Linked DNA regions of Mus musculus. The protein of the gene in region 2 interacts with the protein of the main gene of each other region in a biochemical or structural test. Links are inferred from orthologs where the notes say so. Each region holds a gene or a part of one and is shown on either strand. Other genes may lie near its edges.

Evidence for each region.
Region 1: of the proteins of Creb1 (region 2) and Rps6ka5, one has a biochemical effect on the other in vitro, tested with the Homo sapiens proteins (3 studies listed by BioGRID, with this or other methods). The link is inferred for Mus musculus from reciprocal best matches to the Homo sapiens genes CREB1 and RPS6KA5.
Region 3: of the proteins of Creb1 (region 2) and Cdk1, one has a biochemical effect on the other in vitro, tested with the Homo sapiens proteins (2 studies listed by BioGRID). The link is inferred for Mus musculus from reciprocal best matches to the Homo sapiens genes CREB1 and CDK1.

Annotation. Positions count from the first base shown.
Region 1 is NC_000078.6:100,553,956-100,557,858, reverse strand, and holds part of Rps6ka5 (ribosomal protein S6 kinase alpha-5), read left to right. Parts: intron 1-3,425; coding exon 3,426-3,585; intron 3,586-3,903. UniProt on the Homo sapiens protein: Serine/threonine-protein kinase that is required for the mitogen or stress-induced phosphorylation of the transcription factors CREB1 and ATF1 and for the regulation of the transcription factors RELA, STAT3 and ETV1/ER81, and that contributes to gene activation by histone phosphorylation and functions in the regulation of inflammatory genes.
Region 2 is NC_000067.6:64,567,120-64,571,022, forward strand, and holds part of Creb1 (cyclic AMP-responsive element-binding protein 1), read left to right. Parts: intron 1-3,014; coding exon 3,015-3,157; intron 3,158-3,903.
Region 3 is NC_000076.6:69,342,748-69,346,650, reverse strand, and holds part of Cdk1 (cyclin-dependent kinase 1), read left to right. Parts: intron 1-419; coding exon 420-576; intron 577-1,466; coding exon 1,467-1,590; intron 1,591-3,903. UniProt on the Homo sapiens protein: Plays a key role in the control of the eukaryotic cell cycle by modulating the centrosome cycle as well as mitotic onset; promotes G2-M transition via association with multiple interphase cyclins.

The DNA of each region.
Region 1 (3,903 bases), on a different chromosome or scaffold from region 2:
CTATGGAGGCTTCTCCCCTCTCTCACTGCATGGACATGGGTTTTTAATCTACCCTGTCTACACAGCATATGTATATAGGGTGGCTGGGGTTGGTTGGTTGGTTTGTTTCAAACAAGGGACTATTCTCTACAATAGCAGTGCCCACCATTTGTGACTGTGACTATGCTCTGTGATACCATTAACCTGATTTTTACGCTGTTTTTCTTAAACATTTAACCATTAAATCTACATGTTATATTATACCTGTAGTTGGAGTCTCCAACATTTGTTGAACCATTCTTTTGGTAATGAGCTGTTAGTATTTGCTCCCCCTTTTTTCACTAATTATAAGCTATAAGGATGAATCTTTCTCTATACACAGTTGCATTTGCCTTTAGTTCCTTAGATTCCCAGGAAGGTGTCCTTGTTTTCATTTTAACATAGAGGCCTGAACTTTCTTCTGTTAGGGTTGGTGCACATCATCAACTCAATGTGAGCATGTTGGATGTTACCCATCTTAACCTTCAGGTACACACCACTGTTCTTAATGTTGGTAGGCGTTCCTTTTAATACGCAGTCTGAGCTTCTTCCATACATGTGGACATTGGTTTCTTTGTTTATGGATTGCCACTTATGAGTTTGCCTATTTTCCTCTAGGCAGCTTTTCTTACAGAGAAAGCTCTAATAAAGATAGTTAACCTTTGTCTTTATCAATAATTGGAAATGTTTCTGTGGCTTACCTTTTTTTTTGTTTGTTTGTAGTAAATAGGATCTTGATTTTATTTTTAGAAAAGTTTAAGGAGAAGTGTTTTTGCTTTTGAATTTCCATGTGGTAAAATATGTCAGTCTTGTCTTCATGGCACATGGCTTTGATGTCAAGTTGTCACTGCCCTGCCCTCAATTCAGGGTTCCTGAAATACTCCTCAGAACCAGCATCTTACCTTCACAGGGCCATCTGTATTCCATCTGGGTTTCCCAGTGGCTAGCCACTTGCCCCTGCAGGCTGGCTCTTTAAGCCTTATATGGCTTTCATCTGGGCACTTTAAGTCATCATTTATCACTTTCAGACTGAACTTACAAATTTAGGAATAAGAAGTTTAAATAAAATAAATAAGCAACTTCTGTAGGCTACAGAGTTTTGAGGACTTAAGTTGATGATATTTTTATTAGCATTGTCCTAAAAACATATAAATACAAAAGAGCCCTTCATTTTTTGTATTTTCTTTTTCATTATAAAAGAGATGGTTCTTTAAATTTAGGCCCATTGTGACCATCAAGCTCCTTTAAGGTTTTCAAAGAGTCTCAGACATCCAAATAAATGTAGTCAAGCTCTTAAGTATATCCTAATTATTTCTTACATATACATATATTAATTTCATGTATGTATGTATGTATGTATGTATGTATATGAAAACAACCCTCTGGGAAGGCAAGGTAGAAGCCGCCCTGCCTAATAGATTTAATGGTTATATGTTTAAGAAAAACAGGATAAAAATCAGGTTAATGGTGTCATAGAGCATAGTCACAGTCACAGACGGCAGGCACTGCTTTCTTTTTACAGTGCACACTGTATTGTACAGACTACCAGTTTTTTCAGTAGATGATTTATAAGCAAAAAGATGTCATGAGGCCAGGCTTGGTGGTTCATTCCTATAATCCCATCACTCAGGCAGCTAGGTAGCAACAGGACTTTCCAAGTTCCAGGCCAGCCTAGGGAACAGTATGAAATCCTGTCTCTACAAACAATACAAAGTGCAAACCATGCACTAGAAACCCTTAAGGTACAGAATTTGTGTATTATTTGAATCCTAATTCCACAAAACCTAATTTAAATTGTTTGTTAAATTCACATTCTAAATATAATTAATTGATATAGCTATAATTATAATATATACCCAGCTTACATAATGCAGTGTTCGTATTACAAAATATGATCATTCATTAGATATCAAATACTACAAAAAATTACTGCTTTTTTTTTTTTTTTAGGAGTGACGTCAGTTGTAGTTTGTTAAAGCCTCGTCTTTTGTAGATACATAAGAAAACAGTTGCAGAAGAAAATGAGCAAAATCAGCAGCTGATTTTGATCATTTCAAATGATCAAAAAAGAGTTTTGCTAATTTCCCCATAAAATGAATGTGTCTCAGCTGTCTAGATCCTAACTTCCCTTCAGTAAGCACACCAAGCACAACATTTATTTGGAGCTCTTTATTTTACTTTAGAATTAGATGCCCCTCTTTCATCTTGCATTTAATAAATTGGAATGTTTTTTAATTAATTATCTTTATTGAATCAAATACATTACTCCAAGGAAATATATACTATGTGGTTTGATTATAATTTAGTGTACATCAAGAATGTTCAGTTCTTGTTTGAAATGCTTAGAACTCTAATTAAAGTAGAGCTTGGCCAGCTTAACAGTCTGCTTGGGCTGCTCATAATACTGCAAAGCGAGTGAAACATCAGAGACATAGTCTCTCATTGTTTTAGAGGTGGGAGAGTGCAAGGCCAGAGGGTTGCGAGGGTTAAGGCCGTAAGGTGTCTGGTGCAGACCTCCCTCTGAGGACTGCTGGCTCTCTGCTTATGCAGCGTCTGTGGCACGGGGTTGAATAGACAGGACTCTGGCGTCCATTCTCTCAAGGGTACTAATTGGATCAGGACCTTCGCTCATAACCTCCTTTCATCTTCAGTACCTCCAGAAGAGCCTTTTCTCTAAATACAGTTATGTTGGATAATCATATCTAAATTTAGGGGAGATCAAACCTTCCATTCACAACACAATATTTATAAAACAGTGGTCAGGACCCAGAGCATGCCTGTGAATTAGCACATGATCCCATTACAGCAGTTTCTCCAAGTGTTCTATTCTTCACCTCATGGTTCTCTTTGTTCTCAAAGTTTTCGTTTTTTTAAATGAGAATGTAAGAGAATACAACTCTGAATGTCTACTATTTTTCTGCATTTGCATTTTATAATTCCCCTATGTGCATGTTCTGTCAATATGTATATGCACACATAAAACATGTTCAAACAGATATATATATATGTATGTATATATATATATATGTATATATAAAATCATATATGTGTGTAGTTATATCTTTGATTTTTTTTGCTATACTGTTTGCAATTAAAGGTAGAAAGTTATTCTTTATAGAATTTGATGGCTAGCTGTTAAACAAAAATTGTGAGATCTCATTGATTGGGGCTCCTCTAGGTATAAATATAATTTTCAATTGTGATGTCATAAAAGCTGTGCTCCTTCCTTCCTTTTGCAAGTCTTTGAAATGTTACTTTGGCGACAGACATTAGTCTCTGAAATCCATTGGTGCTTACTGTAGTAGCAGGTAAGTTATGCTCATGGAGTCAGTATTAGCTTACTGTCATGGCGTGACAGTGGTTTTTGCAATTATTCTGATTTTTTTAACTTTCTTTTACCATGGCAGTATACAATGCTGTCAGGGCAGGTGCCATTCCAGTCTCATGACAGAAGTTTAACATGCACCAGTGCAGTGGAAATCATGAAGAAAATTAAAAAGGGAGACTTCTCCTTTGAAGGAGAAGCGTGGAAGAATGTATCCCAAGAGGCTAAAGATTTGATTCAAGGTAAGGCACTAGAGAAATCTCACCGTGCCCAGTACAGAAGTCTGTGTTTATTAATTGTTCCAGAAGTCCATGAGGATTCTCCAAGTCTTGCCAGGTGGCTCGTCGTCTTTTTTTCTGGAACTCTCCCTTATAATCTCATCCCATTTGCAGCATGCACTACCATGGCTCCTGTTGTCATCTTCCTACAAACCCTAAACAAACCTCGTCTTTTCTTGTGTGCTTTTCCCAACTATGTTGTACTTCTGTCTGCTTCCTTTAGAACGATGGCACTACCTCAAGGCCAGACCACAGAAACAGAAGCCTTGGTGTCGCCCTGAC
Region 2 (3,903 bases):
TCCCATAATTAGCCTCCAAACGATGACACCATTGCATACACTAGCAAGATTTTGCTGAAAGGACCCTGATATAGCTGTCTCTTGTGAGACTATGCAGGGCCTAGCAAACACATAAGTAGATGCTCACAGTCAGCTATTGGATGGATCACAGGGCCCCCAATGGAGGAGCTAGAGAAAGTACCCAAGGAGCTAAAGAGATCTGCAACCCTGTAGGTGCAACAACATTATGAACTAACCAGTACCCCGGAGCTCTTGACTCTAGCTGCATATGTATCAGAAGATGGCCTAGTCGGCCATCACTGGAAAGAGAGGCCCATTGGACTTGCAAAGTTTATATGCCCCAGTACAGGGGAATGCCAGGGCCAAAAAAGGGAATGGGTGGGTAGGGAAATGGGGGGGAGGGTATGAGGGACTTTTGGGGTAGCATTCTAAATGTAATTGAGGAAAATACGTAATAATAAAAAATAAAAAAGAAAAGAATTCCGTTAACTTCAGAATTTTACAGTAACCTTCTGTGTTAGTTTAAATTATGCCTATTTATGTACATTTCTATTCATTATTTGTTTTTAGATTTATTTTGTTTTATGTTAATGGATGTTTTGTCTGCATATGTCTGTACACCAGTTGTGTGCATAGTGCCAACAAAGGTCAGAAGATGTTGGATCCCCTAGAACTGAGTTACCCATGGTTGTGAATCACTCTGGATGCTGGGAATCAAAACAGGCCTTATAATAGAGCAGCCAGTGCTCTTAACCTCTGAGCCGTCTATCTAGCCTTACTCCTTTTTTTAAAAAGTAGTTGATTGCCTTATCTCCCTCCATGTACTTACTTAGAGTTACTACTAAGCTCTTTTTCAATCCTCATCCAATTATAAATTCCAAATATTATTAGTTAATTAATTTTGAGGTCCTAAGAAATTTTATGTTGTAAGATATATATTATAGGCATTTATATGTATAGTCTTTACTATTTGTTTTATTTTGTGTGTGTGAGTATTTGTATTTCTGTACACCATGTGCATGACGTACCTGCAGAGGCTAGAAGTGATGTCAGGCCCTCTAGTACTAGAGTTAGAAACAGTGTGAGCTGCTTCTCTTTTGTTTTCAATATAGCATGTGTTAGATCTTGAGACATTGAAGTATATCTTATGTTAGTATGTAATACCTTTGATCCTGAAGCAAATCCAACAAAGTATTAAGAAGCAAGTCACATGACTTCTCCTAAATCCTAAGCAAATCATAGCTGCCAGATGGCTCCAGCAGATAAACATGCTGATGCAAGCTTGGTGACCTGAGTCTCAGCCACATAAGGCTGGAAGGCAAGAACCAAGTCCACCAAATTGTTCTATGACCTCCACACAGGGACCTCCTACTACATTCACACTTAAACAAACAAACAGACAAAACCCACACAAAGGCCAGCTTTATGTTTGTCTTAATATTTCTCTGGCCAAAATCCTAGCAAAAGTTATTTAAATCAACCATGCTTTACTAATGAAAGGAAAGCTCTCTAAAGAAAGCATGGAGAGAAAGGGTTATAAAGGGTACTGTTACCTTACCTTAGAGTTAAACCTTCACACTGAGATACTATTTATATGAAGGTTATGAATTCCTGAAATGTAGCCTTTATATCTATCTAGATTATAACAAGCTATTTAACAGATGCTTATAGTATGCTTGCAAGGTTAGAAAAATGAAATTGATTGATTATACAAAATAGGTTAAAGCAGTTAATTTGTATACAGCAGAAAGGTGCTCCATTTTGTCTCTTGTGGCTTGATATTTTCACCAGTAATTGTTCTGAAAAAATAGAAGCCATGCATATCAGATTTGCAAATGATAGAACCATCAGGCTTAATAAAGTGCCCTGGTGCTAGGAGCATGAGTGCCTTGAAAGGTCACAGCAGGCAAAGGAAATGGGCTGGAAAAATAAGGTGAAACTGTAATGACAACTGTAAAGTCTCTGAGACAGCTTACAAAATAAACAAGTTGTTCAAATATCTGATTCTGGATTTATTGATGAAGAAGTAAAGTTATTTATTTTTATCAGCCAATATAATCTAGAGCAAAAAGAACTAAAGTGTGAATAATGTCTTAGCTGTGGGTTTGGATTCTCATGCAAAGGGGAGCTAGATTAGATTGTGAGACTAAATTGATGATGTTTAAACTTCCAACGATAATCCTAAATAAGGAATATTTCTTCATGTTATAATAGCGCCAGGCATACAAGGTATGTAACTGTAATCCCAGTACTGGTGAGGCTAAGGCAGGAGGATTGTGATCTTCCCAACCTGAGATTCATAATAAGACACTGTCTGGACAGTGGTGGCACACGACTTTAATCCCAGCACTCTGGAGGCAGAGGCAGGCGGATTTCTGAGTTCCAGGACAGCCAGGGCTACACAGAGAAAAAAAAACAAAAAAAAAGCCAGGTGGTGGTGGTGCATGCCTTTTATCTCAGCACTTAGGAAGCAGAGAGGCAGATCTCTTGAATTTGGGCTAGCCTGTTCTATACAGGGTGACAAGGTGAGTTTCAGAATAACCAGGGCCACACAGAGAAACCCTGTCTTGGAAAAAACCAAACATACATACATTCATACGTATGTATGTGCATATATGTATACACATAGACACATGGCTTGTGAAGGCTGGAGTGAGTAAGGGGAGATGGTCTAAAGGACCCAGATTCAATCCCCAGGTCACATAGTATCTCACAACCATCTGGAACTCTAGTCTAAGATACACAGTGGCCTCTTCTGGCCTCTGCAGGCACCAGGCATGTGCAGATAAAACACCCAAACACATCACAAAAAATAAAATAAACATATGTAGTTTTATTTTTTATACTGCCCCACCACCACCACCACCACCACGCAATTCTTGCATTTGAAGTTCCTGCTTTGTTTGGAGTTTATTCATGTGTTTGAATTTTTGTCCTATACGTTAGTAGTTTTCTAATCTCTATTTGTACTTAGTGAATTTTTTTAAAATTAAAATAGCTCTTTATTTTTCTAGGAAAATTTTGAATGACTTATCTTCTGATGCACCAGGGGTGCCAAGGATTGAAGAAGAAAAGTCAGAAGAGGAGACTTCAGCCCCTGCCATCACCACTGTAACAGTGCCAACCCCCATTTACCAAACTAGCAGTGGGCAGTACAGTGAGTAATACATTTTTCTATTATGAAAAGTGAGAAGGAAAACTGTTAGAGTCTCTTTAAGAAAGTGATAAATGCCAAGGCTTTTGCTGCCAATATTGTTTGCCCTACTGTCAGACATTATTAAAGAATTGTTAAGAGGCATTTATTGGAAATGTCACTTTTTTTTTCTTTTATCCTATCTTCCCTTTCGCCATGTCTCTTACATGATTCATGCACAAATTACTATTTTTAATTTTAGAATGATGTTGGCTTGCCAGCCTGTAATTTGTATTCCAGCTGTATTTAAAGTAGATTCCTAAAGGAAAATTTTTAGCTTTTCCAACACTGAAACTTTTAGTATTATTTATAAGGGAGGGGGTTTTTTTTGTTGTTTTTTTTTTTTTTTTTAAGATTTGCTATTTTTATTCATGCGTGTGTGTGCTGCATGAGTTTATATGCATCACCTGTGTGCAGCAGTTCTGGGAAACCTTTGGATCAAATCCTTTGAAACTAGAGTGACAGACACTTGTGAGCCACCTAATATGGGTGCGGGGAACCAAGCCTAAGTACCCTAGAGGATTAAGCATTCTTAGCCACCACGTCATCGGTCTGAACCGTAAGGATGGTGCTTTTGATAAACTGCCTTTACTATCTGTGATAACTGAGCTAAATAAGCTTAGATAGATTTTTTTTTCCTTAAATTATTGGTGGCTGTAAAAAGGTATATCTTCCTCACCCTGCCTGTGTGTGTCTGTGTGTGTGTTTAG
Region 3 (3,903 bases), on a different chromosome or scaffold from region 2:
TCTGTCTCCACTCTGCCGGGTGAGGACAGGTGGTTGTGTTTTGAGATGTGTAAGGTATCAAGGAAGTCCTAAGGCAGTCCAGTTTTTTGGAAGTTTCACAGTGCCTCCTCTTGGTACTGATTTCCAATCTTAAGTTTTTAATGTAGCGACTACATGCAGGATATTTGATAGGTGAATTTCAACCTGATCCATGTCCTAATGTTCACGTGAAGGAAGCTTAACTGGGAGGGAGATGTAGGATGACTCAGTGGGCTTTATTTCCAAACCATGTATATGTTAGATCGTAGTTATCTTCAATGCCTTTTTGAAAGCAGTGAGGGTTTAATGATGTGAGGGGCCTATCTGACTGCAGCTGGCATTTCTCTCGTGTGATACTCAAAGAGTTCAACTTAGAAGAAAATCTCTTTGCTTTCTTTCAGGTACTTACGGTGTGGTGTATAAGGGTAGACACAGAGTCACTGGCCAGATAGTGGCCATGAAGAAGATCAGACTTGAAAGCGAGGAAGAAGGAGTGCCCAGTACTGCAATTCGGGAAATCTCTCTATTAAAAGAACTTCGACATCCAAATATAGTCAGGTGTGCTGTGTTAGAACTGAAGCCACTCTCCCTGTGCTGCTGCACATCTGTTTTAAAGTAGAAATTTTTATGTACTTTCTGGTTCAAGTGGGATGGAGTCCTGCTTTGCTGATGGTGTTTGGAGAATTTGAGACAGGGTGCTAGAATTGGCTAGAGGAGCAAGGCACAGCCCTGGGACCCCTTCCATGGGGAGCTTGCTTAGCTCCTACTTTTAGGGCCCAGGTCCCCAGAGGCTCCTGAGACCAGGGGCCAGGCTGAGGTAGATAAGCTATGCTTTATTGACTTGCTTGGGCTGGGTCATTGAGGACGTTGTCTGGTGGTTCATTAGAATTTCTGTTGGTAGGAGGGACTGAACCCAGGCCTTTGGGTAGAGCTAAGAAAGTGCTCTACCACTGAGCTGTAGCCTCTGGCCTCCTAATATGGGGTTTTGAAATTATTAAGACAGGATATTACTCTAGCTCACCCAGGTTGGCCTGGAATTTACTGCTGTCCTCTAGCTCCCAAGTGCCGGGATTATGGGTTTAAACCACCGCACCCAGTCTCCAGCACTCACAGAATTACCCAGGGTGACCTTGTGCTCACTCCATCCTTTGCATCTAGAGATCCTTGCCTTACTTAGCACCTCTGGTAGCTGGCGTGACCTGCCTCTGCCCCTGGGTTCTAACTGTTGTTGCACTGGGGCTGGCACTAGGGAGCAGCTTTAATCTTCTCGAGCAGCCAGCTTTAGGAGTGCAGGCGGTGTGAGCTAGCTCCTCCTGCAGAGGAGGCTGTGGACTACTGTCCTGAACTTCCGTCCTCAAGTTCTACTTGAGAGTGAAGGTCACTGTTAGCAGTTATGCTGTTGGAAGTGGAGGCAGGCTGCTGGCTGGACTCACGCTTGCTCTGCTCAGCCTGCAGGATGTGCTCATGCAGGACTCCAGGCTGTATCTCATCTTTGAGTTCCTGTCCATGGACCTCAAGAAGTACCTGGACTCCATCCCTCCTGGGCAGTTCATGGATTCTTCACTCGTTAAGGTAAAGAGTTGCGTGCTTTTACTAATACGCTCTCTGAACGTGGGCTCCATCCTTGCGTTTTGTGGCTGCATCTTAGAAAACCTGTAAGGGAAGAGACAGCATTTTATTTTCCTTCCTTCCACCGGATGAGATCATCATCTGCCTGTCTCATTTCCAGAAGGTTCTAGAAGTGAGAAGTAGCGTCTGAGCACCTAAGTGCTACCCTGTGGCTTATGTATCACATTGCTGGGGGCAGGCCAGGCTACAGTGGTTATGTGCAGATCAGCGACAGCAGCCTGAGCCCGGTGCTGATGCTAAGTGGTCTTACTCTGACAAGTAGGCTTTGGTTAATGTAAACATTGTATTTCAGTTAAATTATAATTGTATTTATTGTTCTTTGTGTGTGGTACCGGGTATTGGATCCAGGGCATTGTGTATAATTGGGCAAGTGTTATTCTCAGCAAATGGGTATAGGTTGTAAATGTCTATGGTAAAGGGGTCTTCACCTTAAACCGGCTTTATTTTTCCACTGAACTCTGTGCATGCCTTGAGATGTTCACGTTGACTTTGTATGCATCTAAACCCAGTGGGATCCTTCTGTATGTGCACTGCACACGTTAGTTAGCCTCTCATGTCTCTGTTTCGTAGTGGTTTAATACTTTGTACAGCTAGTAAACCATTTCCACTTAGATTACTTCCTACTTTAGTGATGGCTGCAGTGAGTCGTCATGAGTGGTGGTGGAGGTTCATTCTGCAGCCCAGGCTGGCCTTGAACTCTCATCCTCAAGCCGCCATCTCCCAAGTGTGGGCATTATAAGCATGTGCCACCACACCCACCACTTTATGTCATTTTAGAGGTGGCTTCTTGGAACTGTGATAAAATCTGTGTTTATATTTAAGATCATGGTTGATAGGTCCTCTAAAAATCAATTACTATTTTATTACATTGTTACCAAGACTTGACTGTATGTAACTTTTAAATAGTCTCAGTGTATTATGGGAAGGGTTTTATTACAGTTATTCTATTTGACATTTAACATACTATTGTGTTTACTCATTTTTGCATAACCTGTACATATTCACTCATCTTTCTGTATTTCAGTGGTTTCAAAAGTCATTATTACTAACACACGGTGACTTGCTAGTGGTGCCCACCACTGCCAGTGCTCACACTGTATGGCTATTGCTGAGATGAAGGCTATGGCCTCAGCAAGCAACTTGAGGAGGAAAGTGGCCGTTTGGCTTACACTTGCATGTAACTGCTCATCACCCCAGGAAGTCAGGACAGGAGCTCCTGGCCAGGAACTTGGGGGCAGGAGCTGATTCAGAGGCTGTGGAGAGCCCAGGGCCACCAGTCCAGGGATGGCACCACCCATGATGAGCTGGGCCCTCTCCCAGCGATTACTAATTAAGAAAATGCCTTACAAGCTTGCTTACAACCTGTACTTAAGGAGGCATTTTCTCAGTTGAAGCTTCCTCTCCAATAACTCTAGCTTCTGTCAAGTTGACATAAAACTCTCCAGCAGAGTATTCTTAATGATTTTTTTGTTGTTTTGTTAAAGCCATAATGTATAAGATCAAATGTTTTAGAATAATGTCAATATTTTTCTGCTCTCTCCTATCTCCTAACTTTTCTTAAGTTATGGATAGGGAAAGATTCCTTTGGCTTTAGGATTGGAAGGCTTGGGGACATTTCAGAGGGAAAGTGCTTATGGCACAAGCACGAGGAGCTGAGCTCTGGTTCCCAGGCTCCACATGGAGGTGGTGAGGTGGTGGTGTGGCTCCACATGGAGGTGGTGAGGTGGTGTGGACATCTATAAGCCCAGAGGCTGAAGGACAGAGGCAGGGGCTGCGGGTGGGATGGCTCTGTTGTGTCCCAGGGCCATCCATTTTGATCAAAATGGTGAACTTCAGGTTTAATGAGAAATATCTGCCTGTCACTCGGGTACCTACATTGAAGAGTGCACATGTGTGGGCATGCACACACTAGAGAAGTAGGTTACGAACAAACTTTTACACATTCCCAGTTTAAGCTGTTTTACATATTTTCCTGTTGTCTCAAAAGAGGAAATGCACGTGTAAAGTGACAGAAATGGAAAAGCACAGCTTTATTCAGGATAGAAACAGTTGACACGAGTGCTGAGGAAACTTCTGCACAGAAAGCTAACATGTGACTTAAAGACAGGGACCAAAAATTTAAATGCTCATGTGGGCATAGATACATCTTCGATACTCACCTGTTTAAAGAGGCCTGAAGGGTCTTGTGGTAGCTACATTGTTTTCTCTGCATCATGATTTATTTTCTCAGAACTCCTTTCTCCTTGGAGTCTTGTG